Linked DNA regions of Mus musculus. The protein of the gene in region 1 purifies or fractionates together with the protein of each later gene. This does not show direct contact. Links are inferred from orthologs where the notes say so. Each region holds a gene or a part of one and is shown on either strand. Other genes may lie near its edges.

Region 1 (10,577 bases):
TAATCTCTCTATCTGTGGTCATTTAGTGCATTTAGTGCATTGCCTGCTCTGAAGTAGGTGGAACTACCCGGAGAAGGTGTTAAAAGGTAGGTTATGATTTGGTCGGTTCTGAGATTCTTGTTTTTTTTGTTGTTTTGTCTTTTAGACAGGGTCTCACCAGGCTGGTCTCATACTCCAAGAGATCCACCTGCCTCTGTTACTCAAGTGCTAGACTGAAGGAGTATGCCACTCCACCCAGCTGAGCTGAGGGGTTTCTTTGTTTGTTTTGGGGTTTTGTTTTGTTTTTGTTTTTTTTCAAGATAGGGCTCCTCTGTGTAGCTGGCTCAGACTCACAGAGATCCACCTCCAGAGCACTGAGAGTAAAGATGTGCACCCACCTCAGCCACCACAGCCACCAGTGCAGCAGGCAAACAAACTCCTGGCAGCAGGCTGTGAAGTGTGGAACTTGAGAGCCGTCCTTCTAGTGGGGTTCTTCTGCTGAAGGGGAGGCCTGTGCCTTAGGTGCGCACCCCACTGGCAGGGATCTGATTATTTAGCCCAACAATAGGCAACGACTTGTTTTGAAGGTCCAGCATTTGTTTTTAACATCATATTTAGGTTCACTAGGAAGTTTTTAACTTTAGTGTAGAATTCTCTGCCCTGAGAGTGGTTCCTTCAAATACCTACAGAAAATACTTTATACATATTAACCTATAAATATTATTTATCACTTCTTAGTTGAATTTTTAAACATATGTAAGGCCAAGTTTTGGCAACCAGTCATGATGTTTAACAGGCCTCCTGTGCTCTGCTTTTGTTTTCTTTCCCCTTGAGGTTTGAACCAAGTTTTTGCTAAATGTCTGGATCCCCAGTCTATCATCTGTTCCTTAAACATGTTTTCAGGCACTATAAGTCATCCCTCAGGATTTCTTACTTAATTTTCATTCTTGTTTGAATGAGCTTGGCTTATATTTGCTTCAGCAAACATTTGTTATTTTGTATTGGGAGTTGAGTTTATACAATTTAGGTTGATGTTTGTTCCTAAAATTGGATGTATTGAATTTCTGTTCTGTGCCATTAATTCTTTCTTCAGAAATCATGTGAGTCACCCTTGCAGAAATTCTTTCTGAGTAATAGAGGTGTGAGAATCTTTCCTTTAGGAAGTGCTTACATTCAGTACTTTATATGATTGTCAGTTTCAAAACAAATTAGTTCCCTTTTCTTCTACCTGTTGGAGGAAACCCACTTCAGACTCCTTGCTCTAGAATTGAGTAGTTTGATCAGAGAGGCTATATAATTAGTAAGTACTGTTGGCTTCCTTTATAACCCTCTGCCTCTACCCTTTTGTTTTGATGGAGCCTTGATATGTTGCCCAGATTGGCCTCAAACTCTTGTTCTCCTGAACTCAGTGATGTATACCTCTTGCATACTGTCTGCCTTGCTCATTCTGCTTTTTATTGTAGTGAGTCAGTGTGTGTGTGTGTGTGTGTGTGTGTGTGTGTGTGTGTGTGTGCACATGTATATATGTGTGTGTGTGGGTGCATATGTCTGTGCATATGCCAGGGCATACCAGTTGAAGGCAGTGGACAATTGTGGGATTGATTTTCCCCTACCATGTGGGTCGGGATTAAATTAGGGAGTCAGGTTTGGCACCTCTGTCCACTGAGCCATCTCACTGCCTCTCCTCCCTGTTAAACTCAGTGCTTCTTCTGCCTTCCTTGCTCTGTTCTCAACCCAGAACTCAATTTTGAACCCAAAGATATTTTCTACTATGTAGTGCTTTTCACTTCAATAAAAATAACTACATAGCTACGATGAAACCTTCTTGAGCTACTTAACAAGTTTCTTCCTGGAAGAAAGAAGGCTAAATAACGTGAGTTTTTTTATTCTTTGATTTTGCTTTTGTATAGGATCTTGCTATGTGTCTTTGGCTGGTCTTGAATTCGTGGCAAGCCTCCTGCCTCTACCTCCTGATTGCTGGGATAACATGTACCACTACCCCTGGTTTAAAAATATTTCCTTTCTCTTTTAAAAAATTGATGGTACTGGGAATTCTACTGCCTGCTACAATTGAGGCAAGGACTCTCATCTACCACTAAGTTATATTCCTGGAGAGACTTGATAGCTATGTTCACCTTCTTGTATAAGGAAGAGACACACTTTCTCTGTAGAGTTAGGGCTAGAGAGACTTGACTAGAGAACCTAGGATGATTGTGAGGGACTAGAGGCAGTGGAGGCCATTCTGTGTATATAGTGTGCTTCCCAAGGCCTTGACGTTGAGACTGGGAACTGTCTCCATATGTACTCGGGCTGTGTGTGCTAACCATTGTAGGAAGCTTAGCTTTTCAGGTCTTGCTGAACTGGAAAGGCAGAGTTCATTTGGTTGACTTTTACTGGACTTGTAGATTTTGACTCTTTGACACTGTCTTTTTATGGAGCCCCCATTTGCCCATGTTCTTTGCAGATAGGATAGTATTTTCTCATTTCTTTTATGTGCCTTTAAATGTAGACTTTGGTGAGTTAACTTTGTGGGCTCTGACCTCAGGTGACCCCCCCCAGCTCTATAATTTTATAGTATCATGTCAAGTTCTTCACATCCCAAAGAGATGGCTTGGGAAACATGTTTTATATAGTTAGGAAAGTTTTCGGCAAAATATTTTGTGACTTATTTTGGATTTATGGCATGAACTCAGCATCAGGCTGTTTGGAGCCCTTCTGCTTGACTGGATCCTGTGTGGATTTTATCCGTCCATTCCATCAGCCACAGTCCCTTTTCGTCCATGTGCTTGTTTTTCTGCTGGCAACACAAACAGTGGGCATGGGGTATGTGTCTATGAGATACTGCTTTCTTTGGTAAGAAGTTGTGGTTTTTAGAACATGCTTAGCTGTCTCTGGGCTCTTCTCAGTTCCCAGTCTCAACATTTGTGTGAGGCAGAAAACTTACTGTAAATATATCATTAGATTTTGTTAAACTCTCTGTGGCCTTAATGGCAAGAGAAAGAATTTATTACACCATCTCCATACCTTTTATTAGTGTTCTTGAAGCTGGTTGTGCTGCAAGCATCTTGGAAGTCATTGAATGGTAAACCTATTTTACATTCTGATTATTTCCCGGAAGTGATAGAATGGTACAGTCTCTTTTCCAGGATCTGCGGAGGAATTGCTTCAGAAGCTGCTTCAGATTGCAGAGAAAATCTTAAAAGCGGGCTGCTGGCAGCTGTAGGCACTCAGCCTCACTGCAGTGTAATAGCTCCTCGGACTTGTGCTGTTTGAGTTTTACTTCATTTGAGAACAACCAGGATTTGGGAGCAGGAAGGGAGTAGGGAGTGTACTTCTTTATGGCTTGCTTGGGCTGTACCTGCTTTTCTAAGGGAGGGCTCCTTTAGGCCCCACATAACCTCTGCCGGCCGCTTATTATTTTTATTTTTTTCAGTCAATATTATCAGCTTGAAATGTTTTAGGACCTTTAATAAAATACAGGTCTCAGCTAACTATAAACCAACCTGAGTGTGGCTAATCTCACAACGATTGCTCTTTTCCTCTTTTAAAGCATTTTTAAATCCAATTTTTCTGCATCTTAAGACTCTTTTATACGAAATTATTTTTTTCCTATCACCATTGTTGAATCCATCTTCCTAAAAGGTGTGTTTGGTTCCTCTGCCCACGCTATGGTTAGCCTTGAGTCTCTGCCATTCCCTCCACCTTTTCTTTGTGAATTTGTTTTTGGCCATGAAAGATAAACTATTTTTGAATTGTATACTAATTTCATAATGTCAGAAAGCTTTGGTGCTGTTTTCTCTGTGTACACGGGCGTTCTTTAGAGTCGTGGATCTCACCTCCTGTCCATCTTTCCCCAGGTTGCTAGGAAGAGGCTCCATGTTTGTGTTCTCACCAGATCAGTTTCAGAGACTGCTTAGAATTAATCCGGACTGGAAAACCCATAGACTTCTTGATTTAGGTGCTGGAGATGGAGAAGTCACGAAAATCATGAGCCCTCATTTTGAAGAAATTTACGCCACTGAGCTTTCTGAAACAATGATCTGGCAGCTCCAGAAGAAGAAATACAGGTACCAGTTCTAGAGGGTGCCAGGCGTGCCTGTTGGGCATTTCTTGGGTTTTGATGTATATGTGTGTTGGGTTTTGGTCTAGTTTGTTTGTAGCACTGGGAATTGAATGCAAGGCCAGGGACTCTACCTCTGCATGTATCCTAGTGATAAGAATCAGGAGCAGTTTTCCATGGTTAAGAATTAAACACAAATCAGTGGGAAACCGGAAAAAGGGAATTTTCCATGGCAGCATTTTTCTGAAGCAGAGGACTTGGCATCACAGAGAAGATAGCATAAGTAAGAGACAGCTTGAGGTAGGCAGATGTGAGGACATGACCTCATCAGTGACATGTCCAGATGTTTTATATGCTTTAAAAAATTTTGGTAACATATATGTGATGTAAAATATATCCCTTTAGTCATTTTTAAGTCTGTAATTAGGTCAGCAGTCATGGCACGTTCGTGTTATCCATCTTCCCTAAGAACAGTCTGAAATATCATCCTGCACTCTTCCTTCCTCTAGCCTGTAATCACTGTTGTATTGGCATGAATCTGACTACTCTGTGTACTGTGTCTTGGAGGAGTCTTAGGAGGACTCATGGCTTACTGCACACCCCACACAGTCTGTGTTAGGGATGTTTGGGGGTTGCTTCTGACATTTGTCTTAGGTCCTTTTCTTTTTGTTTTCTTTTTCTTCCTAAGAGGGCCAAGACATACCAAGGGGTAGTCTTGGCTGTACTGGAACTCGTTCTGTAGACCAGGCTGGCCTCAAACTCAGAGATCTGCCTACCTCTGTCTCCTGAGTGCTGGGATTAAAGGCGTGCACCACCACCAATTTGTCTTAGTTACTTTTCATTGCTGTGCTACCAAGATGACTTATACAAGAAAGAGTTTATTTGGTTCCCAGTTTCATAGGGTGAGCCTGTGACCAATTGACAGGAACTTGGCAACCGGCAGGCATGACACTGTCACAGTAGCTCAGACACACATTGCGACAACAGCCATGAAGGAGAGAGAGAAGCCTCAAATCCTATCTCCAGTGAAACCTCCTTAAACAAGACCTCCGAGTCCTTCCTGAATAGTCTTACCAGCTGGGGACCATTCTCATTCAGACCACTACAGCCATGCCAAATGAGTAATATGTTCTCTTGGGTATATGCCTAAAAGTGGAATAGCTAGATCACATGTTAAGTCTAGGGTTTTTGTTTGTTTTGTTTTTAGATATATTTTATATGTATAATGTTTTGCCAGCATGTATGTCTGTGTACCATGTATGTGTCTGACATCCACAGAGACTGGAAGAGGGTGTTGGGAATCCCCTGGAGTTACAGATGATTGTGACCACCATGAGGGTACTTGGAGTTAAACCAAGGTCCTCTGTAAAAGTGCTAAGTGCTCCAAACTGCTGAGCTGTCTCTCCAGCCCCTTAAGTCTGTGTGGGGTTTTTTTTTTTTTTGAGAATTTACTGTATCTTCTCCACTTTATTTATGTCCCCACTGACCAATTTCTTTACACCCTTGACAGTAGTTGGATTTCATGCCCCACACACACTCAGATGTCAGTAATGATGGATGTAAAGGGTCAAGTTCAGGTTACAGACCACTTGGTGCTTGAAAGACTTATGAAGAGTATTTATTAGGTATGAAGTCTGTGTTCCGAGACTTCTTAAGAAAATGTGAGAGACCTCTCTTTGTATATTGGCTTCTATAGCCAATTTTTCTACTCTGGGTTCTTCTTTTTCCTACCCTTTATCTCCCTCCATCCCCCAGTTTCACCCCTTATAGCTAGGTAGGAGAGAAAGAAGGATGGGGGGAGGGTCCTTGAATAATTCTTTTCTTGTTTCTTTGTAGCTGGTCTTTGCTACTTTGTGCGTTCTCACCCCACCCCCCATCCTCTTTACCTCTATCACTAGGTAGGAGAGGAAGAAGGATAGAGGGGGAGAGATAGATATCTCTTTAATATTTAATTTCTTGCTTTTTACTTTGCTTCTTCATTGAGCACAGCTACTAACAAACCACAAACAACCACCACCCATACCCACCTATTGAGGTATTAGCATTTATATACCCTCTGAGAAGTTTCCAGAATGCCAAACATCACACAATTGTACAAACTATCTGCAGCTGGCAAAACTATGTCCCTGCTAGAGCACAAGGCAAATGGTAGTCAGTTGCTGTGAAGGAGCCCCATATCCTCACACCTGGGCTTAAAAGGAAAACATATTCTTATAAGATTTCTGTGTTTTTAAAAGAAACCAAAATTCCAGAATTCTTTCTACAGACTGGTTACACATGTGGAGGTGGGACCTGCCCCTGTGGTATTTGGAAAGCCTTGGACAGAGATTTATCTCCCCACTGACTTCTGTGAGTGTCTCTCACTTAGACTAACCTTAGTCAAGCATCTGTGCAGCTCTGGTGGGGCAGGAGCAGATTGAACATTTGGAAAACACGGAGAGTTTTAGTCTAGAGAAAGGACAGACCAAGGCTGGTGGTAGAAGGACGGATTGCTGTGAATACTTAATGAGACTTTAAATGGAAGGAAGAGGTAAACGTAGACTCTGCTCTATCAGGCACAGCTGATTCTAGAAGTTGAGTTGTGGATAGAAACATCAACCTTTCTCACCTCAGTGTTAAATAAGTGTTTGGGATGTTATATTTGAAGGACCTTATGTAGAAGTAAGTTTGAATGACCGCATAGTCTACCTTGGTTTCATCCTCAGTTTCTATCTTGGTAAACCTACATGGTAATAATTAGAATACATTACCCCTCCAAAAAGAAGTTAGTTTTTGTCCTTTGTTATAATGACAACTTATAGGTTTCTAACCTGTCCCCATATCTTCCTACTGAATTAAAACAAAACCAGGGCCAGTGAGTTGGCTCAGTAAGAAGGCTGCTTGCCACAAAGTCTGCTGCCCGAATTTGATGCCGGTTACCATATGGTGGGAGGAGAGGACTCACTTCGCAGGTTGTCTTCTGAGCCCCACGTGTGTGCAGTGGTACAGACATATACACAAGTGTAATAAAAACTAAAAACAATGCTTACAGTGGTCTGGGAGGGAAGGAGGGTACTGGCCTCTTCATTTACTTTGCCTAATGAGAATATACTAGAGAATGGAGTGTACAGATGGCCATTCATGCTTAGCTGGGTAGGCCACAGGGCTTCTTTAAGGAGTCACGGTCAGGCTTTCCCTCACCTTACATGGAGAGGGCCAGCAGCCTTACCTGAGGAACATGCTAGGAGAGGCTTCCAAGTTGTAGTTTCTGTGCTACATTGTGAACTTGGACAAGCCACTCCTTTCATTTTGTCATAAAAGGAAATATTCCAGCAACTCACTAGGATTCCTGAGTACAACTACTAATATATCTTAAAGAATGGAACTGAGTTTACAAACACAGCTTTAAAAATTAAGGGTGAGCTTGATCTGCTTTCAGGAAAGTTGAACTGTTACAACATCAGACCCCTAAGTGTTGGTTCAGAGAGCGTCTTTCTAGTTTTTAAAACTAACGCAGAAGCCACTTCCCTGCAGCTGAGAGTTGAGGTGGATTAAGTTGAGAGGTTATCTCAGTGACATCTGCTGCTGCTTCACGTCTAGCTTCTCTTCCATTGCAGACCTAAGGTTATTGTTTTGTTTAATCAAATGCATAACCTGTGCTTTTAAATTGTTTGGCTAAAGCATTATACAAGTATTTCTTTCATCGTTTATTTCATTGTTTAAGAGTATAACTGATGACATTTTCCTGTGAAAGCAGAGACTGTTCTGTGTGTCTTTAATGAGCTGAGCGCAGCTTCTGAAGTCGTTATGCAGCAGTCTCACGGGATAAAGTGCTTCTGAAACTCCACAGTGAGATGTGTTCAGGAGACACTAGTGCAGACACACACCTGTACAGCAAAGGAGCTGCCTGCTTTCTTGGGTTGTTATAAGCAGTCTTAGTGCTGGGAGACGGAAGCAGGAGCTAGTGTGAGGCCAGCCACGGTTACACAGCAACTTCAAAACACAAGTTAGAGAGACAGGGAGAGAGGGAGGGACGAGGAAGAGGAGGAAGAGAAGGAAGAGAAGGAAGAAGAGGAAGAAGGAAGGAAAGAAAAGGAAGGCAGGCAGGCAGGCAGGCTGCTGGCTGGCTGGCTATAAGGCAAAATACCATGGCCTGGGGATCTGGCTTAGTCAGTACAGTCATGCTTATTTGGAAAGCAAGCATGAACACTTAAATGCAGTGCCCAGTACACGTGTGAAAAGGTAAGTACAGTGGCAAGAACTTGTAATCCTGGCACTATGGAGACAGTCAGGAGACTCCCTGGGGCCCACTGGCCTGCACAATGTAATTATTGAGTTCCAGGCCAATGAAAGCCCCTGTTTCAAAAAAAGAAAGAAAAAAAAAAAAAGGTGGCATCTGAAGAATAACACCCAACATTGACTCCTGGCCTCTATAGTTGCCATTTTTTCCTTACCTGTCCTTTGTATAATTGTAAATGTAAATTATAGGTGCATATTTTGAGTACACATTGATTTAGAAGACAAAGTTATTGGCCTTTATTGGCACCTTAGTTTTTGTTTTTCTTTTTTCAAGACAAGAGTCTCACTCTGTAGCCCTGGCTGTCCTGGAACTCACTCTGTAGACCAGGCTGGCCTTGAATTTACAGAGACCCACCCGACTGCCTTCCAAGTGCTGGGAATAAGGCATGTACCCTACTCCCTGCTCATCTTAGTTATTTTAAATGTTGTCGCTAGGGCTGATTAAGAACACTGGCTACTCTTCTAGAGGTCATGAGTTCAAATCCCAGCAACCACATGGTGGCTCACAACCATCCATAATGAGAAACAAATTAAAAAACCTATGGGCAAGAGCAAGAGGGAAAATGGAAAGGGGTGAGGGGGATGGGGTAGGGGGAGTTGTCTCTAAGTGGGAGAAATAGTAACCAAGTTCTTTTTGATTTTTCCAGAGTGCTTGGTATAAATGAATGGCAGAATACAGGGTTCCAGTATGATGTCATCAGCTGCTTAAATTTGCTGGATCGCTGTGATCAGCCCCTGACATTGTTAAAAGATATCAGAAGTGTCTTGGAGCCCACCCAAGGCAGGGTCATCCTGGCATTGGTTTTGCCCTTTCATCCCTATGTAGAAAACGGTAAGTGTGGGCAGGCCAGCTCTTCTCAGAATGACAGTCTATTGGTATTTGCGATTTTTATCTCATGAACACCTACACATGGTCTAGTGTTGCTTAGTTACCTGGAATTAAAGATAATACAGCTAGCCATGTGTAGTATCACCGTGGTTAATGCTTATTGTAATACAGATTTTACAGCATTCTGTACGCCCCTGGCACTGTGATAACTCAGCCTCGGCTGCATCAGTGCCTCTGTATCTGTGCTCTCTGCCTTTCAAGGCAGCTTGAACACTTATGTATAAGCCAAGTCAAGCAGCACATTCCCTCTTAGTCTGCTAGTAGATATCTGCTGAATGTCATGGCTGCTTTGTTTTACATTTTGTAACTCTTGTCTCAGACTCTAAAAATGATGAATGTTCTGTTTTGAAGACATTCATGTTCTAGTAAGTAGCATTTCTTGAATAACAGGCTTTTTAAAACATTTATTATCATTTTTAGAATTGTTTTTGTGTCTGTGTGTGAGTAGAGCATCTGCAGAGGCTGGAAGATAGCCCTACGTGGGTGCTGGGAATGGAACTTGGGGTCCTTTGAAGGACCAGTGCATACTCTTAACCTTGAAGCCCTTTATCTCTCCAACCGTTGGAATACGGTTTTGTAAATTAATGGTGCTGCTCTTCAACAGTATTGATTGAGGAGTGCACTGGAAGAGACAGGTTCTTTCCTGACAATTAGCTTCTGATACTCACTGTGAACTTAATACCACAGTAATCCATAGTTTAAGCTCAGGGGTTTGCACTTTAGGTTATCTTGAAGATGATGGCGCTAATGCTCTTCTGTATTTTAATAAATTAATGTACATTTATATAAAACTTGTTACGCATGCTAATATTTTTAAAGTCTTTTGTCTTTTTACTTTCGAGACAGTCCTCATGTAGCCCAGGCTAGCCTCAAACTTACTGTGTAGCCAAAGATGACCTTGAATTTTTTATCCTCCTGCCTCCACCTCCCCTGTGCTAGGATTTATGTGGTGGTAGAGATCGAGCCCACAGCTTCCTGATGTTTGGCAAATAAAATAGTCTACCAATCAAGTTGTATCTGCAGCTCCTAGTTTTCTAGTTTTAATGCCCAGATTGGACATTTGCTCAGCTCTCAAGTACTTGCAAACATTTTAAAGGAATTCCTTACTATTTTGCAAGTGTTAGAGCCACTAAATACCATGGAAACCCATATTTTAAGGAATAACATTCCTTTTTTTTGTGATTGTGGAACATTGTGGATTTATGTTGCTGTGTGCACATATGCTTCTGAATTCTGTTCTTGACCTTGCTGTTCACCCATGGTCATAGTCCTTCCTTCCTTCTTTCCTTTCTTTTATTTTCTCATTATTTCTTGTTTGTTTGCTTGCTTGCTCATTTTGGAGACAGGTTCCTGCAGCTTTAGCTGGTTTGA
Region 2 (10,677 bases), on another chromosome or scaffold:
ATAGGACTGGAAATACAGCCCAGGAATCGACTGGCTGCCTAGCACTAGTGTGTGCACACATTGGAGAGGAGTGGGGTGTGGATAGTTTAGGGGAGAGAGAGAGAGAGAGGATAGGAGGCTAATGTATCCAAGGAAGAGTGGCTTCAGAGGACTGGAAACCTGACAGAAACAGGTTGAGAAGCAAAGAGTACATGCAATCACCGAAAATGTAGTAATACTAAAGGGAAATGTTACGACTCTAACCAAATCAGAAGCATCGGCTGACTTCAATCCGAGCTCTGCCGCAGGTGCGAGTGAGTCTGTTCACACATGCCATTTTTCCTTGTTCTCTACGCTCCACAGGAACAGAGCCGGCTCTGCTACCCTTGCCACCGTTTGGCATTCCATGAAGAAGTTGCTGCCAAAAGGGAGGTGTAGAAATATTTGGTGAGTTGGTGTGGTATGAGCACTCACACTCGCCATGTTGGGGAGGCGGAGGCAAGAGGCTTGCCATGAACTCCTGGCCAATCAGACCTCCAAAGTAAACGCAAGACTCACCAGGGATGCATGGCAAGACCCTGTCTAAAACCCAAAACAACGAGTTGGAGCCTTGGCTCCCTTTGCTGGTCTTGCAGAGGGCATGGATTTGGTCTCTCGCCGGATGGCTCACAACTACCTATGACTCCAGTTCCAGGGAGTCTGGTGCCCTCCTCTAGCCCCCTCGAGGGCACACACGCATGTGCTGCACATACAAACTTCAGGCGCTGTACCCTTTGCTTCCCTTCTGCTGTGATGAAGCACTCAGACCCAAAGCAACTTGAAGGGTTTAGCTTACAGTGTGCATACAGTCCATCGTTGAGTGGAGCACAGGTAGGACCGGAAGCAGAGGCACGAAGGAAAAGGAGCACTGCTTACTAACTTGTTCCCCAGGGCTTGCTTAGCTGGCCTTCTAATGCCACCCACGACTGATGGGTACGATTCTCCTACAGCGATCACTTAGAAAATAGCCCACAGACTTGCCTACTGGCCAGTCTAATAAAAGCAATTCTTCCACTGAGATTATCTCGCCCCCCCGCCCAGGTGACCCTAGTTCATGTCAATATGATCAAAATCAAAAACAAAAACCAACCAGCTCATAGACACAGGCAAATTTTCAAAAATAAAAATTTAAAATACCTCTTCAAAAACCTTCGATTTTGTTGGGCCTCCTCACCTGACCCAATCACTCTACGCCAACAGTTGCTCCCAGATGTGAAGATAACAATAAATAAACATAATACTATGAAGTCTCCTGCGGTTGATGCCCCCAGGGTTGGAGAGATGGTTCCGTAGGTAAGAAGGTTTACTGCTCCCGTGGAGTACACAGACAGGGGTTCACAGCAATCTACAACTCAACAGCCACATGGAGGCCCACAGCAATCTACACCTTCAGATCCTGGGGAACTGGCCTTCTCGTCTGACCTCTTTAGGCACCAGGCATGCACATGGTATGCACACTCGTAAGCGAGACACTCCTCTACATAAAATCAATTTTTAAAAATGTTCCCCACAGGCTCATACACTGGAGCTCTTGGTCCCCAGCTCGTGGTGATGCTTGGGTAGGTTTAGGAGGAGTGACCTTGCTGAAAGAAGTATGTCGCTAGGGATGGGAAGACGTTTGAGGCTAAAAAGCCGACTTCTGGCTTGCTCTCTGTGCTTCAAGCTTGTAGTTGAAGACGTGAGCCCTCGTCCTCCATTTCCTGCCACTCTGCCTGCTGCCACCGTTCCTCGTCCTCCATTTCCTGCCACCGTTCCTGCCATGACAGGCTCCTGACCCTACGGAAGCATAAACCGAATACCCCTTCTTCTGGAGGGCACCTAGGCCATGGTGTTTTATAACAACAGAAAAGAAACCCATATACATGATGAGTTTAAAAAACAACAAGATCCCAATGAAACACACACACACACACACACACACACACACACACACACTAAAAACAGTCGCAGTGAGGCTATGTTGTATTGTCAGTCTTTTACTTGCTTCAAACAGGAATGTGTGCGTCTGTAGCTTCTCCAGACTGTACCTGCCTCCCGGCTCGGCGTGTAGCGTGAAAAACCTTTACTGAGGTCTCAAGTAAGAGTGTCAACCCCTAAGGTTTTCTCTTTCTTCTTCCCTTCCCTTCTCCTCCCCTCCCACCCCCCCACCCCCTCTCCAGGCAATCTTTTAAACCCTGAGGCTTTCCCTGTGCTGGGAAGAGCACAGGCACTTGCCACCAGTCTAACTAAAAGGTTTGTTCCTTGTTTCTTCTGCTTCTGCTTCTGTTACTTCTTCTTCTGCTTCTGTTACTTCTTCTTCTGCTTCTGTTACTACTTCTTCTTCTTCTTCTTCTTCTTCTCCTTCTTCTTCTTCTTCTTCTTCTCCTTTTAATTTATCAATATGAAATGACTCACAAACTCTTTGCCAGCCTTTCCTGTTTATCAGATGCTCTTTGGAAAACCTCCAGACTTTAACATGTTACACTGTCAGCTGAGTCTTGCTCTCAGCTTGCTAACTACTCTCTACCACAGATTAAAGGTAAAGCCTTTGCTAGCTTGCTCACATACATGTCACTTGGACTCTTTGTGTGTGTTCAAATTCAGTAGAATAGTATCAACTAATTATGATTTGTCCTTCTGGAAACCCCACTTTCTCCTTCAAATCACCAGTCCAAACCTCCCTCAGTAATAATAGCTAACACTTACTGAGTAATACTAAATGCCACTCACATTCCCTCTGAACAGCTTTATAATATAGATATTACTATTCCTACTTTCCGGAAAGGGGGTGTGTGCCTATAATGCCAGCACTTGGAAGACAGAAGCAGGGAGACCAGAGTTCCAGTCCGTCCTTAGCTATATATCAAGTTGGAAGCCAGCCTAGGCTACATAAGACCTTGCCTCTATATAACAACAACAAACGACGAACGGGAGGAAAACTAAACAACAGATAGGTCAAGTGACTACAATTGTTTATTTCTTTTCTTGTTCCTTTTGAGACAGGATCTCACCTTGTAGTCCTGGCTAGCTTAGAATTCAGTATGTAGACCAGGCTGGCTTCAAACTGCCTCTGGCTATAATTGGGATTAGAAGCATGCGCCACCATGCTGACCAAGATGTCCACAATTATTGAGACTCAGACCAATAGAGACCCAGGTACCTGTAAAAAAATAGCTTTTATATAGATATGTCTACACTAAGTAATATCATTTCAAAGACAGGATTGAAGAAAATCAATATTTTTAGAAAGGGAATAAAATTGTTTACAATAGCACACCTGTAGCCCCTTCCTTCTGTGTTCCCTCTCACACACTTGAGCAGGTTAGCCTGTACTCCTGCCCAACAATTAAATCCACAAGCAGTTGCCTTTCTCCATTGTTTTAGCCTCCCACTCTGCGTTATCGTATCATCAGAAATCCAAAAATAATAATCTCTTTGTGGGAGTCACAGGCACTTCAAAAAACTTTTAGCTTTCTCATTAGAAAAAAAAAAAAAAAAAAAACAAAAAAAAACCGTTAATGCACTTGAGTTAGCAACGCCTATATGTGGCTCACGCCTGAAATTCATCATCCAGGTTTATGAGGCTAGCCTGGGCTACATGCTGAGTTCTAGGTCTATCTGGGCTACAAAGTGAAGCCGTTTAAGAAAGAAGAACCCTGAAGCAAAGGGCTAAGCTCTGTTTGTTAACACAAATATGCATTTTCTAGGGGACCATCCATCCATCCCTCGAGCGAGGAGAACACGCTGTAGCCAAGATGGACCTTAGGTGGCGCTGCAGGGACCTCTTAGGGGCTTCTCTTGAAGACGCGAGGAGGGGGCGGGTCGAGCGGAGCCTTCCCAGCGGTGGGAGGAGCCTGAGTGAAGCGAAGCCACGTGTCCACCAGCGCGCAGGCGCAGGATTGGTCACTCCCCCGGGAGTGAGGGCTGCCGGGGCGGATGACGTGGCCCGGTAACGTTCCTGCCCGTACGGCCTCCGGGGAACGGCGCTGCCGGAACAGCCCGCGGCCTAGTCCCGCCCAGCGTGCGTGTGCCTGCTTGCCGAGCCCGGGCTAGCGGCGGAGACTGCCGAGCTTGCGAGGACGCTGCTGACATGGGGGAGTGACGCGCCTGCGCCCGCGCTTCCGCAGCGGCGGCGAGCCATGAGGAGAGCCCGCGGCGCGGGCAGCGGCTCCTGAGCCTGCATGGAGGAGAAGTACGGCGGGGACGCGCGGCCCGGGCCCGGCGGTGGCCTCGGGCCGGTGGACGTGCCCAGCGCCCGGTAAGGTGGGATTCCACGGCCGCCGGCGGTGCGGACAAGCTTCCCGCCTTGCTCGGACCCCGCGGGCTACCTCTGCGGTCCGTGGCTTGAGATCGGCGAGCGGGCGGGAGTCTGGGCTCGGGACGCACTGCCTGCCAGGTTCCAGTCCCTAGAGAGAGAGGATCTGAATGTCCCTCCCTGCCACTTAAGTAACGCAGGGCTCCGTAGCCTGTCCCACGGCTCGCCCAGAGGATATGCGCAAGGTGTCACCGTCTCAGGCGAAGAAACCAAAGTACAAGCCGATGAACTTGGGTATACAGCACAGCAAAAATGCAACCCTGTCATCGAGTTTTCGTTGCCGTGGTTTTGTGGGGAGAGGTGGGGGCTTATTCTAATAGTACGAAATGTACGTTCCCCCTCTCCCCCAAAACTCATGCCGTACGGGGATTCGTAGCGTGGAAATTCTTTACTTTTCCTCCAGCCTAAATTATTTTCCTTTTCCTAAAGCCTCTAGCCAGTTGTGCCCTTAGGTCCTGTCCTAAGTTCTGAGGTGGTGTTAAATAAAGCCCAACAATTTCGTTCAAACTGGTTAGCAGTATGTACGATGAGATTTCGTGATTGTTTTTGAAAAGGTTCTTAGACCGTGGTTACAGCGATACCAGCTAACTTTTGTCTGGGGGGGTGGGGGTGGAACCCATATGCCGAGTAGAATTTAAACCAACTGCGGGATTTGCAGAATGCATTTGGTTTTCTGTCTATTTTCAGCAATTCATTTATAGCATGTCACGTGTCAACCAGTGACCATAAAACAGCTAGATGCAGAAGGGGCTAGTGCTATGGTTTGGTAATAAAGGGAAGTAATAGAAGGGACAAGACTAGGTCAGGTCACAAAATTGGACTATGGAGACAGATTAAAGTATCAGATCTTTGTTAAATTTCCTGTTGATAACTCCAGATTTCATAGCAGAGTTGCCATATTTTTAGGAAATACAAGGGTAAAATGTGATATACTTCATTTACTCTCAAACAGTTCAAGGATGGGGGGGGGGGGAGAGTGAGAGTATAAATAGTTTAAACGTGGTAAACATCCTTTGCCAACTTACCTGTATTATTTGCTTGGCAGAGTTGCCCTTCTATCGTAGGTTATTACAGAATTCAAATTTTGACTCAGAGCTGGCTGAATTTCAAGGGATTTCAGGTTTCCAGAGTTTTCTGTATGCTCGAGCACTGGATCTTAACTGCAACATTCGAAATGATCAGATCCTTCCAGTGTGGTTATTTTTATGCCTGAGTGCACAAATTCCAGTGGTCAGGGCTGCCAGCATTTGCTGAGTACCTCCTATGCCCCAAAGACTCTTAGTGTATAGATCCCTTTAGTCTTTCCAAGAACACTACAAGCTAAGTAGTAGTATCCTTGTTTGATAGGGCAGGAAACTGAGTTGCCTAAGGTCACACAACTAATGAATGACCTGGCAGTCTGAGTTGTTTCAGAATCTGTGTATTTACTATGCATGCCTTCTGTTTACACCTATGAATGCTTGAATTCATTGAATTGAACTAGTATTATTATTATTATACATCAAAATTATTTTTGAGACAAGATATTATACCATGGTGTCCACAACTGGCCACCTCCTTCCTTAGCTTTGCAAGTGCTAACATAGGCCGCTGTACCTGGTCAGCAGCTTTGCTGTATATGTGTGTGAATTATGTGCTGGTATGGCCTGTTCCTTGAGGCAGAGGCCCTCTCTGGGCCTGGATGCGGCCTAGCAGCCTCAGGCTTCCCTCTGCCTCTGTAGTGCAGTGACTGACACCCTGGCCTTACGTGAGTGCCAGGGGCTCACGCTCACACACGCAGCAAGTGCTTATGTGTGTACATTGTTTGGGCATATTCTCCCTCGTACCTGCCCCCATGCCCTCCTCCTCTCTTGATATCTAGAGACTGTGAGTGGCAGCAGTGGACACATTTCAAGAAGGAACTATAAACTCATATCCAAAATTTAATAATTGCGAGTTTAGAGACCTGAAGAAATTTCTAACCAACCACATAGAAGACCAGTTATATTTTTATTTGGTCACTTAATAGCAAGCAGTGGTTCCTGAGTTGGGGAGCTGGGTTGAATGCCCCAGCTCTGCCCAGAGGCTCAGTAACCTGTATAAGAAAGTCTCCCATCCCTGTCTTCACCTACCAGTCATTTCCCCCCTTAATATGAACTGCGGTGTTTCTGTGTATGGTTACTTAGCCTTAACTAGTCTTGTCTAGATGTCCAGCAGGAAGTTGTAGTAACTAGAACTTTGACAATCAAAGACTGCAGACGCTTGAGGATGTGGTGGCACACAGCTAATCCCAGCACTTGGGAGGCAGAGGCAGGCGATCTCTGAGCTCCAGGCCAGAGCTACAAAAAGAAGCCCTGTCTTTAAAAAACAAAAACAAAACAACAACAACAAAAAAAAAAATCCAGGAACTAGCAAGACAGTTCAGCAGGTACAGGTCTTTACCGCCAAGACTGATGGCCTGAATTTGACCCCTTGGACCTGTATGGGAGGAGAGAGCCAACTCTGTGAGTTTCTGACTTCATATGCTCTTATGCGAGCACACATGCACACACACACAAATAATAGTAATAATAATAATATATGTAATAAAGGAATTTTTTAAATCAAAGAATACTATATTTAAAAGTTGAAGTAATTTTTCTAATTTGATAATTATAAGCAGAAAGCTCTTGAGTTATGTGCATGATTGTAAATGTGGAGAAAATATTTGTTGACAAACATAGGAAAAGGTTTGTAAATTGTTTACCTGTGAGGAGAGAGCTAGAAGTGATTTTTTTAAAACCTTTCCAATAATCAGCTACTCAGGAATTAACGTTATGACCTTTGGGGTGCTATGCACATATGTGTGTATGAAAATAAAGTTGGCTTATTAATACTAATATATCATGAGCATTTTACATGAATAGCTTCATATCTCTCATTCAAGACCTAGTTTTTTTATTTTTAATACGTTATATAGAAGTCTATATTCTTTGTAAAACAAGTATTTACATGCAGTTTGACTTTTCCTTGATTTTAATCATAAGCAATCTACTGCTAAATTAGGCTAAACTAAATTGGCTAAATTGAACTAAACTAAATGCAGTAGGATCTTCAAGGTCTCCTGCCCAATGCTCGTATTTTAGAGGTGTCTGTCAGCTTACTTGGGAAGCGTAGCCGGTCTGCTTGCCTGTTCTTTCCTGAAGACCTGGAACTCCTTGAGGACAGGGCCTTGCGTGTGTCTTGGTTATTACACAGAATCATGGAACTGGAGAGGCTTGGATAGATAGGGATTCTCCCGCATAAAAGAAACCGGATTGCCCACAGTGCCCCACCCCCACCCCACAGATGAATTCCTTATGGTTCTTCCCTGCTATTGTTTATTCTATATTAACTTTTATAGTTAGACTTATTAAATGGATACAGCATCTTTAGCTAAAAATTTTTAAATTACTTTTTAATGTATTTGGGGTTTGACTAAAAATATAAATAAAAATGTAAATTTTAGGTAAGTTAGATAAGATGGTCATGAGTTTGAGATTGGTCTGTACTACATAGTAAGATCCTATCTCAAAAAGGGGGATGGTAATAAAAGGTTTTCCTTTAAGGCAGAGATAAGGTAGACTAGCTCAAGGCACTCCTTTCCCTGTCAGGAGAAAGAGGTGAGGCTGTGCCTGAAGCTACCCAGGCCTGGGTTGAATATTCCATGCTCACTTAGTGCATGTTGGATGCTACAAAGGGCCATGAGACCAAGGGAAGTCTGGCAAAAAGAAAGCAAATCTTTCTGCTCAGCTTCCCAAGTAACTGGGATTACAGGCATATGCCACCAGGCCTACCTTAGACATTAATATACGTTGAAAATAAACCAGGAGTATAGGACCCAAAGTTTTAGCAGTAGTTAACATGTGGATGGTGGGTTGTTTGGAGAGGGTTTTTATTGTTTTCTATGTGTTCATGTGTATTTCTGTAGTTTTTATTATGGGTATTATGAGAGGAAAATAAGATTACAGTGATCCTAGTGATTTCAATTATATTAAAAATTGTTCCTGTTCTTATTTTTCAGATTAACAAGATACATTTTATTGCTGTGTTTAACCAAATGTTTGAAGGCTGTGGGACTTTTTGAATCATATGATCTCCTAAAAGCTGTTCACATTGTTCAATTTATTTTTATATTAAAACTTGGGTGAGTATGGAGAGGGCCTTAATGGTTTTTGTTTGTTTGTTTGTTTGTTTGTTTTGTTTTGTTTTTCGAGACAGGGTTTCTCTTTGTAGCCCTGGCTGTCCTGGAACTTACTCTGTAGACCAGGCTGGCCTCAAACTCAGAAATTCACCTGCCTCTCCCTCCCAAGTGCTGGGATTAAAGGTGTGCACCACCATGCCTGGCTCTTAATGTTTTTTATTTCTCTGAAAATCCTCTTTTGACTATTTTTAAGAAATCTTACTTATATGTTCTGTGAAGTTTATTTCTTCTGACAGCTAACTGAATTTTTTTTCTATAAATAGAAGCTTGTACAAGAGTAGAAGTATAGAGACCTGTAGAAAAAGTTATTTCAGCTGAGTGTAGTAGCCCATAATCCCAGCACGTGGGAACTTTAGTCATGAGGATCATGAATTAATTGGAGGCCAGCCCCAGTTACACAGTGAGGCTCTGTCCCAAAAATAAAGTAAAAGAAGTTAGTTGAATTCTAATGACTTGCCAAACAGGCTTTTAGTTCAGTTTGTATTGCTAAGATTCTTGCAAAGCTCTTTTAATGCCTTGCTTAATAGACTGTGTGGTTCCTATCTGTGCTAGCAATCAGTCTTTTGTAATGTCTTGTATCATTTAATTTCATAGAAGATGAGGGTTCCCTCACACTTCTGAGGACAGATGTAAAAAAAAAAATGGAGATGTTGTATTTTCATAAAAGTGATTTTGACAGGCTGGAGAGATGGCTCAGCAGTTAAGAGCACTGACTGCACTTGCAGGGGTCCCAGCCTCAGTTCCCAGTATCTATCTGTGTGGTTCATACCTGCCTATAATGCCAGCTCCAGAGTTGAAATTCTTCTGGCCTCTGTGGGCATGGATCCACATATGTAGACACACACATACACATAACTAAAAATAAAGTAAATCTTTAAAAAGTATATACTCCCTGTGGAGTCGTAGACTATCTTCTGATGTAGCTCAGTCATGAGGCAATTATTAAAATATTACCTAAGCTTGACTTAGTACAGACATTTCTTTCTTTCTTTCTTTCTTTCTTTCTTTCTTCCTTTCTTTTTTTTTTTTTTGGTTTTTCGAGACAGGGTTTCTCTGTGTATCCCTGGCTGTCCTGGGGTAGACCAGGCTGCCCTTGAACTCAGAAATCCACCTGCCTCTGCCTCCCAAGTGCTGGGATTAAAGGTGTGCACCACCCTCGGCTAGTACAAACATTTCTTGTTTCCAAGTTAGATCATGCTGGGCTGTGCCCCCTACATAACCTCGTCAGAGTACGGGGCCCTCATGTTCTGTAAACTGTACAGTTTGTGTGCCATTTTCTTCCTCAGTAGAGGCTTATAGTCCTTGAGATGAATAGTAACCCACTCTGTGCTAATACTCTTAAGGCTGTAGTTTGCCAGGTTAGGAAAGAGGTTCTTGATTAGAAAAGTTAAGCATTTGTATTTAACTGACAGTAAAAAGATGAAGGCCTGTTACTGTTTTATTGGCTCAAGATTTATTACTATCGAGCTTAAGAGAAGATGAATTATTTTCTTTGCTATTTTCAGGTATTAAAAGTATTGAAACTAATCATAGTGGCCCATGCCAGTAATCCCACCACTTAGGAGGCCGAGACTCATAAGTCCAGGATCAGTCATGAGATGCAATGTTCATACCCATTACTACTTTGTGGTTTATGAACTAGTTGTGAAGACAGTTATCAGGAAGTCCTGAGTTCTGCCATGAAAGCCTCGTCGCTAAGGACAGTCTCTGCTACAGTTCTTCTGTTGCTGTTTTATTTCCTGACGCAGGGTCTCTGTAGCTTTGGCTGACATGGAGCTTGCTCTGTAGACCAGGCTAGCCTCTAACTCACTGAGATCCACCTGCCTCTGCCTCAGGGATGCTACGATTAAAGGCATGTGCCACACTGACCAGCAATACTCTTGTGTTTTGAATTAGTGTTTTTGTATTATATAAAAAATTTTCTGCCCTTACAGAATCATAATGGTTTAATTATAGCAAGGATTTAATATTTTTCTGGTATCATTCTTCAACATTTTTGTATCAGATTAGTGTATCTAATGTGTGTAAACACATCCATCTCATTAGTGTAAAAATTTGCTTTTATCTTTAATAAATAGTAAAATCATTTACACCAAAGACTAAGATATATTTTAAAGATAAATTTGATTTGTCAGCAGTAAATGTTTGATCTGTACATATATTT
Region 3 (10,677 bases), on another chromosome or scaffold:
AAGATGAAATTTAAGCTTAATGAAGTTTAGTCTTTCTCAATCTAGAAGGGTTTGAAGGACTGGGAAAGACACGACGTATTCCAGGAAATTACTAACCACTTAGTAGCAAACCTGAGGCCAATGCCAGACCCTTAACTTTTTTTTTTTTAATATTTATTTATTTTATGTATATGGGTACACTGTAGCTGACTGGATGGTTGTGAGCCTTCATGTGGTCGTTGGGAATTGAATTTTTAGAAACTCTGCTCACTCTGGTCAATTCTGCTTGCTCAGTCCCTGCTTGCTCTGGCCCAAAGATTTATTTATTATAATACATAAGTACACTGTAGCTGTCTTCAGACATGCCAGAAGAGGGCGTAAGATCTCATTACGGGCATATTTTTATTAGCCACTATGTGGCTGCTGGGATTTGAACTGTAACTTCGGAAGAGCAGTCAGTGCTCTTACCCACTGAGCCATCTCACCAGCACTAGACCCTTATCTTAAACAAGGTGGATGCTACCTGAGGTCATCCTCTGGCCTCAATGCACACTCCTGGGCAGCCAATCATATGAATGTGTACACACCCATATACATACCCTAAACTTGATGTGGGTATGTATCAATGGTGTAATCTTTGTCTAGCACGTGAAAGCCCTAGATTTGCTCTCCAATAATCAAATGATCATCCGCCTGCAATCAAACATAAAGCATAGACAAATACAAAGCCAACAAAATACATTCTTTGCATGAAGACTTTGGCATGCTTCCCAACTTACCAAAGACAATGAGGCCTACTTTTCAGGCCCAAAGGTATCTTCATGACCACCTACCTAATGCACTCATACTTCAGTGCAATCCACCCAGCTTTTAGAAGGGCGAATTATCTTAAATCCTGGAAGTGGAAAGTTGAGATTTTATTATTTCACAGTGCTGTGATCAAAACCAGAGCCTCCTGAAGGTGAACAGAGCCCTGCCTCTGAGTTGCATCCTCAGTGTTCAGCTGCAGGTTTTCTATTTGGAAACCTCAATTCCTTATTATCAAGACAGCTCAGTGGTGAACAGTAACCTGCCCTGTCAGGGAGAACTGTTGTAGTTTCTCCAGCTTCTGGGGGACCCCGGCCAGATCATCTACATCCAGTTCTCCCTCCTCCAGTCTACAGACCTGTATAATACAACTACTGCCCAATGCTTGTACTTTTTTAAAAAATAAATTATTTTTTAAATTTCTTATGCATGAGTGTTCATTTGCCTGCATGTGGGCCTACCTACCATGTATGTGCATAGTGCCACAAGACTAGAAGAGGGGATCAAATTCTCTGGCTCTAGAGTTACAGATGGTTTTGAGTCACCATGTTGGTGCTAGGAACTAGACAGGTCCTCTTGAAGACCACCTAGTACTGTTAACCACTTAGTCATGCCTCCCCCCACCCCGCCATCGAAGACTTTACTTCTTAGAATTTAAAAAACAAATTCAAGCAGAATTTGGTTTTGCAGACATGTAACCCAATACTAATAGAGGCAGAAGCAGAATTATCACAAGTTTGAGGCCAGTTCTACACTATGAATTCCAGATCAGCCAAGGCTACGTAGTATAATCCTGTTTCAAAACTCAAACAAGGGGGAGGGGAAAAAAAAAACTCAAACAAAAAGAAACCTCAACTCTAATTTCTTTCATTTATGAAAATCACAGGGATAGTAAGATGATCTAATATTCTTAGTTATTCTAATATAAATACTAAGTAATTTTTGAAATAGCATGGAAACTTTAAAATGTGATTTCTATGTAAGCTATACATTCCTTCCATTCATTTCAGCATACTATTGGTGTGAGTCTATGTGAAGGCTTGTGTGTACAAAGGACAGACCTGATGTCTTCCTCCATCTCCCTTCACCTTATTCTTTGACACAGGGTCTGAGAGAACCTAAAGCCTATGAGCTTTAGCATCCCATTGTCTCCAGTCCCCAGCGCTGAATGCTGACAATATAAACTCAGGTCTTAATGCTTGCACAAGAGGGTAGGCACATCACCATCTAAGCCATCTCCTCTGCCCTCATTTGACATAGTCTATTAAAAATTTTTGGTCTTAAAAAAAAATTAGGTCTTGGCAGGTAATACTTTAGGTGGCCTAAAAGACCCCATATAAACTCTAAGAGTTTCTATCACTATTTATATATTCTGCCCAAGAGCATAGACAGAAATATGTTTATAAACACATATTCAAATCACGATTTCTGGTCAGCTACTTAATAATGTGGGTCAATTGCTAATCTCTGGGCCTGAGTTTTCTTCTCTAAACCAACACTAACTTCTGCTCTAGAACTGCTGACTAGGTTAAACATACATGAACTGCGTATGAGACCTGTTTTACAGCATGCGCTCAATGTGACTGTCTACAGTTACTAGATATCGATACTATTTCTACTTGTTGATTTTTTTTTTTTTCGGTTTTTCGAGACAGGGTTTCTCTGTGTAGCCCTGGCTGTCCTGGAGCTCACTTTGTAGACCAGGCTGGCATTGAACTCAGAAATCCACCTGCCTCTGCCTCCCAAGTGCTGGGATCAAAGGTGTGTACCACCACTACCTGGCTACTTGTTGATTTTTAATGAATTTTAAGGTAAATACTCTAAACTTTATTTTGGGAGAAATATAAGCACTTAGTTGTATTTATTATTTTGTGGATGTACACATGTGGAAGTCAGAGGGTGACGTCCAGGAGTCAGTGCTTTCCTTCCAACAAGTGACACCCAGCAATAGAACTCTAGCTTGGCAGCAAGTGCCCTGACTCTCTTATCATCTTTCCACTATTTTTGTGTGTATGTGCGCGCGCCTTCAGATTTTACTACTACCTTGTCAAACATTTAAAACATGGGCTAGAGAGATGGCTCAGAAATTAAAAGTGCTTACTGTTCTTGCAGAGGACCTGATACCCACATTAAGTGGCTTACAATCCTTTACCAGTGCCTTTAACTCTAGCTCTGGGGGATTCTGTACTCATGTGTACATACACATAGAAATGCATGATTAGAGGCCAGAGAGAAGGCATAGAGGGTAAAGGCACTTGTCAAGAAGCCTAACAGGTTGAGTCCAATCCCTAATACCCATACTGAAAAAAAAAATTCCAGAAATATCACACCAACTTCCATACAAGTTCAAATGCCATGGCACATGCATGCACAAACAAAAGATAAAGTATCTTCTGAGAATTACATTTAATGGGGAAAAATACAACTTTATATGCTCATCTATTAAAAAATAATTTTTAAAAAGTATGCATGATTACATACCCCTGCAGTCCCAGTTACTTGGGAGGCTGAATTTGGATGACTAAGTGAACTCAGAAATTCAAGATCACCTTACAGTGAGGAGATAGTTAAGTAGTGGTGTTTTCCTAATTGCTAAGTTCAAGGCTCTAGAGTCCATCCTCAGTATTTGGGGGATGAGGTAGGATAACAAAGACAGAACAACATCCTGAGAAACAGTGTGACCTGCTCTATAAATGAGACCTATACCTTACTCACATGTCATATTTGGGGGTTTCTGCTTCATGTGTTGGGAATGGAACCCTGGGCCTAGGCCAAGAATTATATACCACCTTCTTGGATTTGTTTTCATTAACAGAAACATAGGAGTAATTTGGTGGTGGTGGGTTTTTTGTTTTTGTTTCGTTTTGTTTTGTTTGATACAGGGTTTCTCTGTTGTAGCCCTGGCTGTCCTGGAACTCACTCTGTAGACCAGGGTGGTCTTGAAGTCAGGGATAAATCTGCCTCTGCTTCCCTCATGCTGGGATCAAAGGTGAGCCACCACCACACCACCCAGCTAATAAGTGATTTTTTTTAAAAGAAACTTTTTCCTATTAATTCACTTTAAGATGTGAATACGCAGGATGGAGAGATGGCTCAGTGATTAAGAGTTGAATTCCCAGTTGGGCAGCTTACAACTGTTTGTAATTCCAACTCTAGAGAATATAATGCCCTTTACTGGCCCCCATGAATAATATATTGCATATATATTCACACCAACATACACATATTTTTAAATATATATATATATGTACATAGTACACACACACATATTAAAGATTTATTTCATGTATATGAGTACACTGTCCTCAGACACACCGGAAGAGGGCATCGGCTCTCATTAGAGATGACTGTGAGCCACCATGTGGTTCCTGGGAATTGAACTCAGGACCTCTGGAAGAACAGCCAGTGCCCCCAACCGATGAGATATCTCTCCAGCCCTAAATAAATCTTAAAATGATTTTTTTTAAAGACAAGAATACAATATAAAAATTGTCTAGATTCCTTAAAAAAAAAAAAAAAGAAAAAAGAAAAATTTCAGGGCTGAAGACATAGTTGCTGCTCTTCCAGAGGACCCAGGTTTGATTCCCAGCACCAATATGATGGGTCTCACACACATGGTACACAGACATACATGCAGGCAAAACACACATACACAGAAAATTAAATAAGCCTAAAAATTCTTTCCTAGCATTTGTAGCAATAACAAAGCATTTAACAAGCATTTTCCTAATGAGTTTTACAGTAAGCTATACAGACTACAACTATCTTTGGCACTTTAATTACTTCTTAGGACTTTTTATGAGCTGCCAATACTATTTGTCCATTTCCTTACACTTTCCCAAACAGTTTCTTAGTATCTGCCCTCTCAAAGGCAAAGCAAGTAGCACACTCATCCCCATTTCTTTCTTTCTTTCTTTCTTTCATTCCCATTTTTAAAGGATAGGAATTAAAGTTATCATGCTGGACAGTCTTCTGCAGTTATTCTTAGCAACTGCCACTCTACTCCCTCAAAGTTCTCTTACTGGGCAAGTGACCTCTGCAGGACAAGGATGCAAGGTGTGTTGTCAAGATGCACATGCCTTGTGGCTCTTGAAAGATTAAGGAGTTAATTGCACTGTTGAGTTAAGATAGCAAGGAGGTGACACCCATTCACAGACAGTTCGGTAAACTCCTATTGTGAATGGCTCACTACTATATACAGTTCTTCAGGGCCTGGCTCACCTGTAGTGTACCCCTGCCTGGCCTGTAAGCTTAATTACAGTATAAGTACAACATGAGAATTGATTCTGTTCATGCCCTTTCAAAGGTTACTGGAAAATATACAAAGATTTTTAAGGTAACCCAACTTGTCCCCCTTTAAAGGGGTGGGAGGGCAAATTATTTTTAAAAAACAGGCAGATTCTTCCATTTCTGAAGGGTAAAGAGACTGTAGCTCAACTTTGCCAAGCTTTTAGTATTCAGTTTGGTTTAACTTCACACAACTAGCAATGCAATCACTAGTGTCATGACCAGCAGTTAATACACAAAGTGTCATCAATGTGTCCTCAGGTCTTGGCACACAGGCCTTCAATATAAACATTAGTGTATCAGTGTAATGACCAAGGCATTCGGATTTCAAGAAGCCAGTTCGATTCCTACCCACTGAACCTTTACTACACATCCAATTTCTCATTCCCATTCCCTCGGAATTCAATACAAGGCCCATCAGTCATTCTGTCTACTCCTGGGGACTGAGCCCTAAAGTAGAAAAAAAAAATCTCCCAAATTCCCACTCCCCCGATTAATTGCAGTTAGGTGCTTGAACCAGGACTTTTAACCCAAACGGTCTAGTGCTCAGTTACAATCCCAACTGGATGACTAGAACTACCTGTATGACCTTGGGCCAGTCATTTCAAACTTCTAGGCCTCAGTTTCCTCCCCTCACTAACTGAACTTTCGCTTGTATCTCCTGCTCTTAAGGTCCTGTGAACACCCACACTGGATTACTATCTATCCACCACCGAATAGGCAGGTGCTTTAATAGTTAAGCCTTAAGTTTCTCAAGCGGTACACGTTCTAGTACATTCTACTCCCTCATCAGGATGCTATGGTCCAGTCTTCCCTTTGGGCAAGTTATTTTCTAATCTGTAACGCTTATCTCTGGATTTACTTCACCTTTCCCTGCTATTTGGGCTACCTACTAGGCCGAATTCTAATACCACACCTGTACCGGATTACTCAGCCCACCTCTGGGTGGGCCTGGCCAGGGCCTAAGAAAGCTCTAGAAGCAAAGCCGTAGGAAGTTGTTAGCTTTCTCAGAGGTCAAGGGAAACCCCAGGACACCTGCCACGCCTCCCGACCCCGGCGGCGCTGCCCAGGCTAGCCTCTCTAACCCGGCCGCTCTCCTCACTGCCCTGCGCGTCCGCCCAGGCCTGCGCCATTCGAAAGCCCGCCCGACCCCTCAGTCGTCGAGCCTACAGCCACGCCCGACCCCCTCCGCCACGGCGCCGCTCGCCCAGTCCCCCAAGGCTCGTCCCGGGCCTGAGATCCCCGCACACGCTTCCCGTCTCACCTCGAGCCTCCCGGGGACCACTGGCGGCTCCCTCACCTTCTCCCACCCGCACACCCGGCCCCGTGCTGCAGTGGAGACAGCGGCAGAGGCGGCCCGACCGTCACGTGCCGCAGAACTAAGAGGCCTCGGCTACGGCCGCCGCGCGAGCGAGCCCCACCGCACGAAGCCCAACCCCGCGTCCGCCCCTCGTTCCTGAGTGGCTAAAACGAACGTCAGATCCCGCCCCTTTGCGCAAGATCTAAGAATTTATTGGTAGATACAGCCATCGCTCGAAGCGCCTTCCCATACGCCCCCTAGGGCTATTCTTCGTGGAGCGTGGTGATTGGTCAATAGCGAGGCAGGAAGTGGTTGCTGATTGGGTATGAAGGAGGAAGGCGGGCCGTCACCAAACGGGCGGGCGCGCGCCGCGGAGGGCGGACGGATCTGGCACGCGTTCTCGCGTGGGTCGCCCTAGTCCCTCAGGGCGGGTGTGTTGGACATCCAGAAGACGGCTTTCCGACCCATTGAGTTAGGAACTCTGTCCCAACCCCGCCTGGGACCTATGGCCTTCATCACAAATGGTGAGAGGTCGGGCGGTGTGCTTGCGCAGTGAGTGAAATCCCTCTGGGTAGCAGACACCGCCTTTCCTGCGGAGTCATCGCCCTGAGCTCAGGAGCCTGAGACCTCTTTACCTAACAAAACACTACCTAGATTCACAATCAAGCCACATGGAGTCACTTTCCCATGTGCCCGTGCTGTTTCCTGATTTTAGTCGTTAAAATCAGACATACCTAAGCGACAGAGTTGAGGAAAAGGGTGATGCCATGTGCAGATTTAAAATAGCCTTTTCATAACCCACTCGTTTTTCAATATGCTGATAACGCTGTAAGATTGAAGTGGCTAAGGATTTGGCTAGATCCTTGAGAATCCTGATCGCCTCGGGTTGTATTTGGTGACCCAAAGCTTTGAATAATGTGGAAAGAAACAGCAGGTTTTTCTACATGTGAAACGAGCTTTGTTCCTGCCACCCCAAGAGAAAGGCAGTAAGGATTTGATGTTTGGGTCAATTTAGTAACCGCCAATTCTCTCTCCCTAATTTTAAAGAAGAGAAATTGCTTTCCTTATTTGCCTTATAAAGAGCATGTTCAAAATGAAAATTTGAAGCCAGCTTGGCACAGGCAGTACACATAATTTAAAAAAAAATTCTAAATTTACTTAGGTTGAGTTCTGGCTTGTGTTACCCAAGATGGCCTTGAATTTAAGAAAGCCAAAAAATCGACTTCTGCAGAGAGGTGTTAAAATATGTCAGTACTGAAGGAGTAGAGGAGTTGAGGCAGAACTTTTCTGTCTAAACTGACAAAGACTTGAACTGGACCTCATAGATATGCAAATTTTCTGTAGGTGGAGTTGGAAGGAAGTTCTTGAGATGAGAAAATTGTACAGAAGAGCAAAAAAGTGACTCTCAGGTATTTGGGGGATCCATATACTAAAAATGTTTTGGGAGCAATGGAGATGGCTCAGCAGGTAAGGACACTTGCCACCAAACCTGATGGCCTGAATTTAATTCCCAGAACTCAACGTGGTGAAAGAAGAGATTGAATTGTACTCTGACCTCTATACAAATTCACATACATACATTAATAAATGTGAAATTTTAATAAAAATGAGGACATGATGGCTCTAAACTATACTGTCCACAAAGAGACTGGGAACGTCAGTCTTCTGGTCTGTTCATGGTGTGTCATTATAGAATATTACAAGTTTCTTTTATGTTTCAGTTTATCCAAACAGCTAAACCTTAACAAAGTTAGCAAATACAAAGAGACTAGGCATATACCTTCAAGTCAGTTAGTGTTAACCTGAGTAGACCTTCAGGAATTGATGAGCCTTATTTATCAGAGATAGCTTATTCATCCAACACAAGTTATTACTTATCTAAAATTTTCTAGAAGCTTGGTGTTGAACAGTCAGCAAAAATATAAGTGGTTAGACATCAGTCTCTAAGTCTTAATTCTTTCTCAATGTCTTCATCCCCAATCTCTCTTACTTGATTTGATCCTACTTGAAGCAACAGTACTCATGTTTCCACCCAGTTTTTTTTTTCTCACTGGCTACATTACTATTGATCATTTCTTTGTACACACTAATCAGGCCCTGTCAAATTAATTGGTAGAAAATACAACTTATTTTATCACAGATTCATTAAACATTTTGCACTGATCATGTAGATTCCTTTTAATTGTCTGTTCATGGAGCTTGTCCAATTTTTCTATTCTAGGCTTTTCTTACTGGCTTGTAAGAAATCTACAGCCTAATGGTCTTGAGAGTGAGTTAGTTTCGATGGTTTGTAAGAAATCTTCACTCGCTGAGATGCTTCTTAAACTATTACTGAGAACCCACCCATCTCCAGCTTCATTATACCTTTTAAATTAGGAGCTATTTCTTTTGTCTTTTTGTTTTTTAAAGATATATTTTATTCCAGCACTTGGGAGGCAGAGGCAGGTGGATTTCTGAGTTCAAGGCCAGCCTGGTCTACAAAGTGAGCTCCAGGACAGCCAGGGCTACACAGAGAAACCCTGTCTCGAAAAACAAAAAAACAAAACAAAACAACATATTTATTTATATGTAAGTACACTGTAGCTGTCTTCAGACACCAGAAGAGGGAATCAGGTCACATTACAGATGGTTGTGAGCCACCATGTGGTTGCTGGGATTTGAACTCGGGACCTCCAGAAGAGCAGTCAGTGCTCTTAACCACTGAACCATCTCTCCAGCCCCTCTTTTCTCTTAATTGCACTTGTTCCTTCTTTTCTCATTATAATTTGTGTGGGTTTGAGGGCTCCATGAGTGTGCTGTACTTGCATATGTCTGTGTATATGGAAGCAAGATTAGTAGGTCCTTATCACTCTCCACCTGAATCCATTGAGGCACTGTAGACAGGATCTCTTCCTTGTACCTGGAACTAGGCCGGCAGCCAGCATGCCCCATTGCACTTCCTGTCTCTGCCTGCAACGGCACTGGGGTCACAGGCATGTGCACCATGCCCTTGTTTTGTTAGAAATTTTTCTTTTACTTATCCTTCAATAATTTCATACATGTCTATTTGTCTGTCTATCTGTCTTCTTTTTTACTTTTTGAAACAGGGTTTCTCTGTATAGCTCTAATTGTCCTGGAACTCGCTCTGTAGACCAGGCAGGCCTCCAACTCAGAGATCTGCCTGTCTCTGCCACCCAAGTGCTGGAACTAAAGTTGTGAACCGCCACCACCCTATTCTTTCTTTTTTTTTAACCAAATAATGTTCTTGGGACTGGAGAAATAGCTCAGTGGGTAAGAGCACTGGCTGTTTTGTTGTTGTTGTTTGTTTTTCTTTCTTTCTTTTAAAAGGAATCCTGCTTCAATCCCCAACACTCATATGGCAGCTCACAACTGTTTGTAACTATAGTACCAGGGGATCTGACACCCAATTCCGACCTTCGTGAGCACCAGGCACACACATGGTACACAAACATATGTGCAGACAAAATAACCATACACACAAAATAAAAATAAAATTTAGAATAATTCTTTAAAACTATTCATGTGTATATACACATGTCATGAATGTATGAGAAGAAGACAACTCCCAAGAGTCAAGTCTCTCTTTGCACCCGTGTTTCCTAAGGATTAGACTGAGGTTGTCCTCACGCCTAGTGGCCCTTTTAGTTGGGTTACTATTGCTGTGATAAAACACCATGACTGACTTGGGGAGGAAAGGGTTTATTTTTCCATATCACTGTTCAACTCAAGGGAAGTCAGGACAGGAACTTAAGGCAGGAGCTGATGCAGAGGTCATGGAGGGGTGCTGCTTACTAGCTTGTCCCCATGCTTGCTCAACCTGGTTTCTTATAGAACCCAGGACCACCAGCCCAAGAATGGCTTCATCTATAATGGGCTGGGACGTCACCCATTAATCATTAAGAGAGTCCTGAAGTAGTAGAGTCCTCAACCTTCCTAATGCCACAACCCCTTAATACAGTTACTTATGTTGTGGTGATCTCCAACCATAAAATTATTTTCTTTGCTAATTCATAACTGCAATTTTGCTACAGTTATAAACTGTAAATATCTGCCCTTTCCAATGGTCTTAGATAAGGTTTTTCAACTCCCAAAGGGGTAGCAGCCTACAGTTTGAAAACTGCAGTCTTGCCTGGAGCCTGATCTTATGGAGGCATTTTCTTAATTGAGGGTCCCTCCTCTCAAATTTCTTTAGCTTGTATTAAGTTGACATGAAACTAGTCAGCACAGTGGCAAATACCTTTACCTGCTGAGGCATCTAAATTGGCTCTCTTGTTTTTATTTCTTGATAGAGCTCACTATAAAGG

The links.
Region 2: the proteins of Mettl9 (region 1) and Slc30a5 purify together in Homo sapiens (co-immunoprecipitation; 3 studies listed by BioGRID and IntAct, with this or other methods). This does not show direct contact. The link is inferred for Mus musculus from reciprocal best matches to the Homo sapiens genes METTL9 and SLC30A5.
Region 3: the proteins of Mettl9 (region 1) and Canx purify together in Homo sapiens (co-immunoprecipitation; 3 studies listed by BioGRID and IntAct, with this or other methods). This does not show direct contact. The link is inferred for Mus musculus from reciprocal best matches to the Homo sapiens genes METTL9 and CANX.

The regions. Positions count from the first base shown.
Region 1 is NC_000073.6:121,048,251-121,058,827, forward strand, and holds part of Mettl9 (methyltransferase-like protein 9 precursor), read left to right. Parts: intron 1-3,836; coding exon 3,837-4,046; intron 4,047-8,964; coding exon 8,965-9,149; intron 9,150-10,577. UniProt on the Homo sapiens protein: Protein-histidine N-methyltransferase that specifically catalyzes 1-methylhistidine (pros-methylhistidine) methylation of target proteins.
Region 2 is NC_000079.6:100,826,679-100,837,355, reverse strand, and holds the start of Slc30a5 (zinc transporter 5), read left to right. Parts: upstream 1-3,928; 5' UTR 3,929-4,178; coding exon 4,179-4,255; intron 4,256-8,333; coding exon 8,334-8,456; intron 8,457-10,677. UniProt on the Homo sapiens protein: Together with SLC30A6 forms a functional proton-coupled zinc ion antiporter mediating zinc entry into the lumen of organelles along the secretory pathway.
Region 3 is NC_000077.6:50,319,156-50,329,832, forward strand, and holds the start of Canx (calnexin precursor), read right to left. Parts: upstream 6,519-10,677; 5' UTR 6,338-6,518; intron 1-6,337. UniProt on the Homo sapiens protein: Calcium-binding protein that interacts with newly synthesized monoglucosylated glycoproteins in the endoplasmic reticulum. It may act in assisting protein assembly and/or in the retention within the ER of unassembled protein subunits.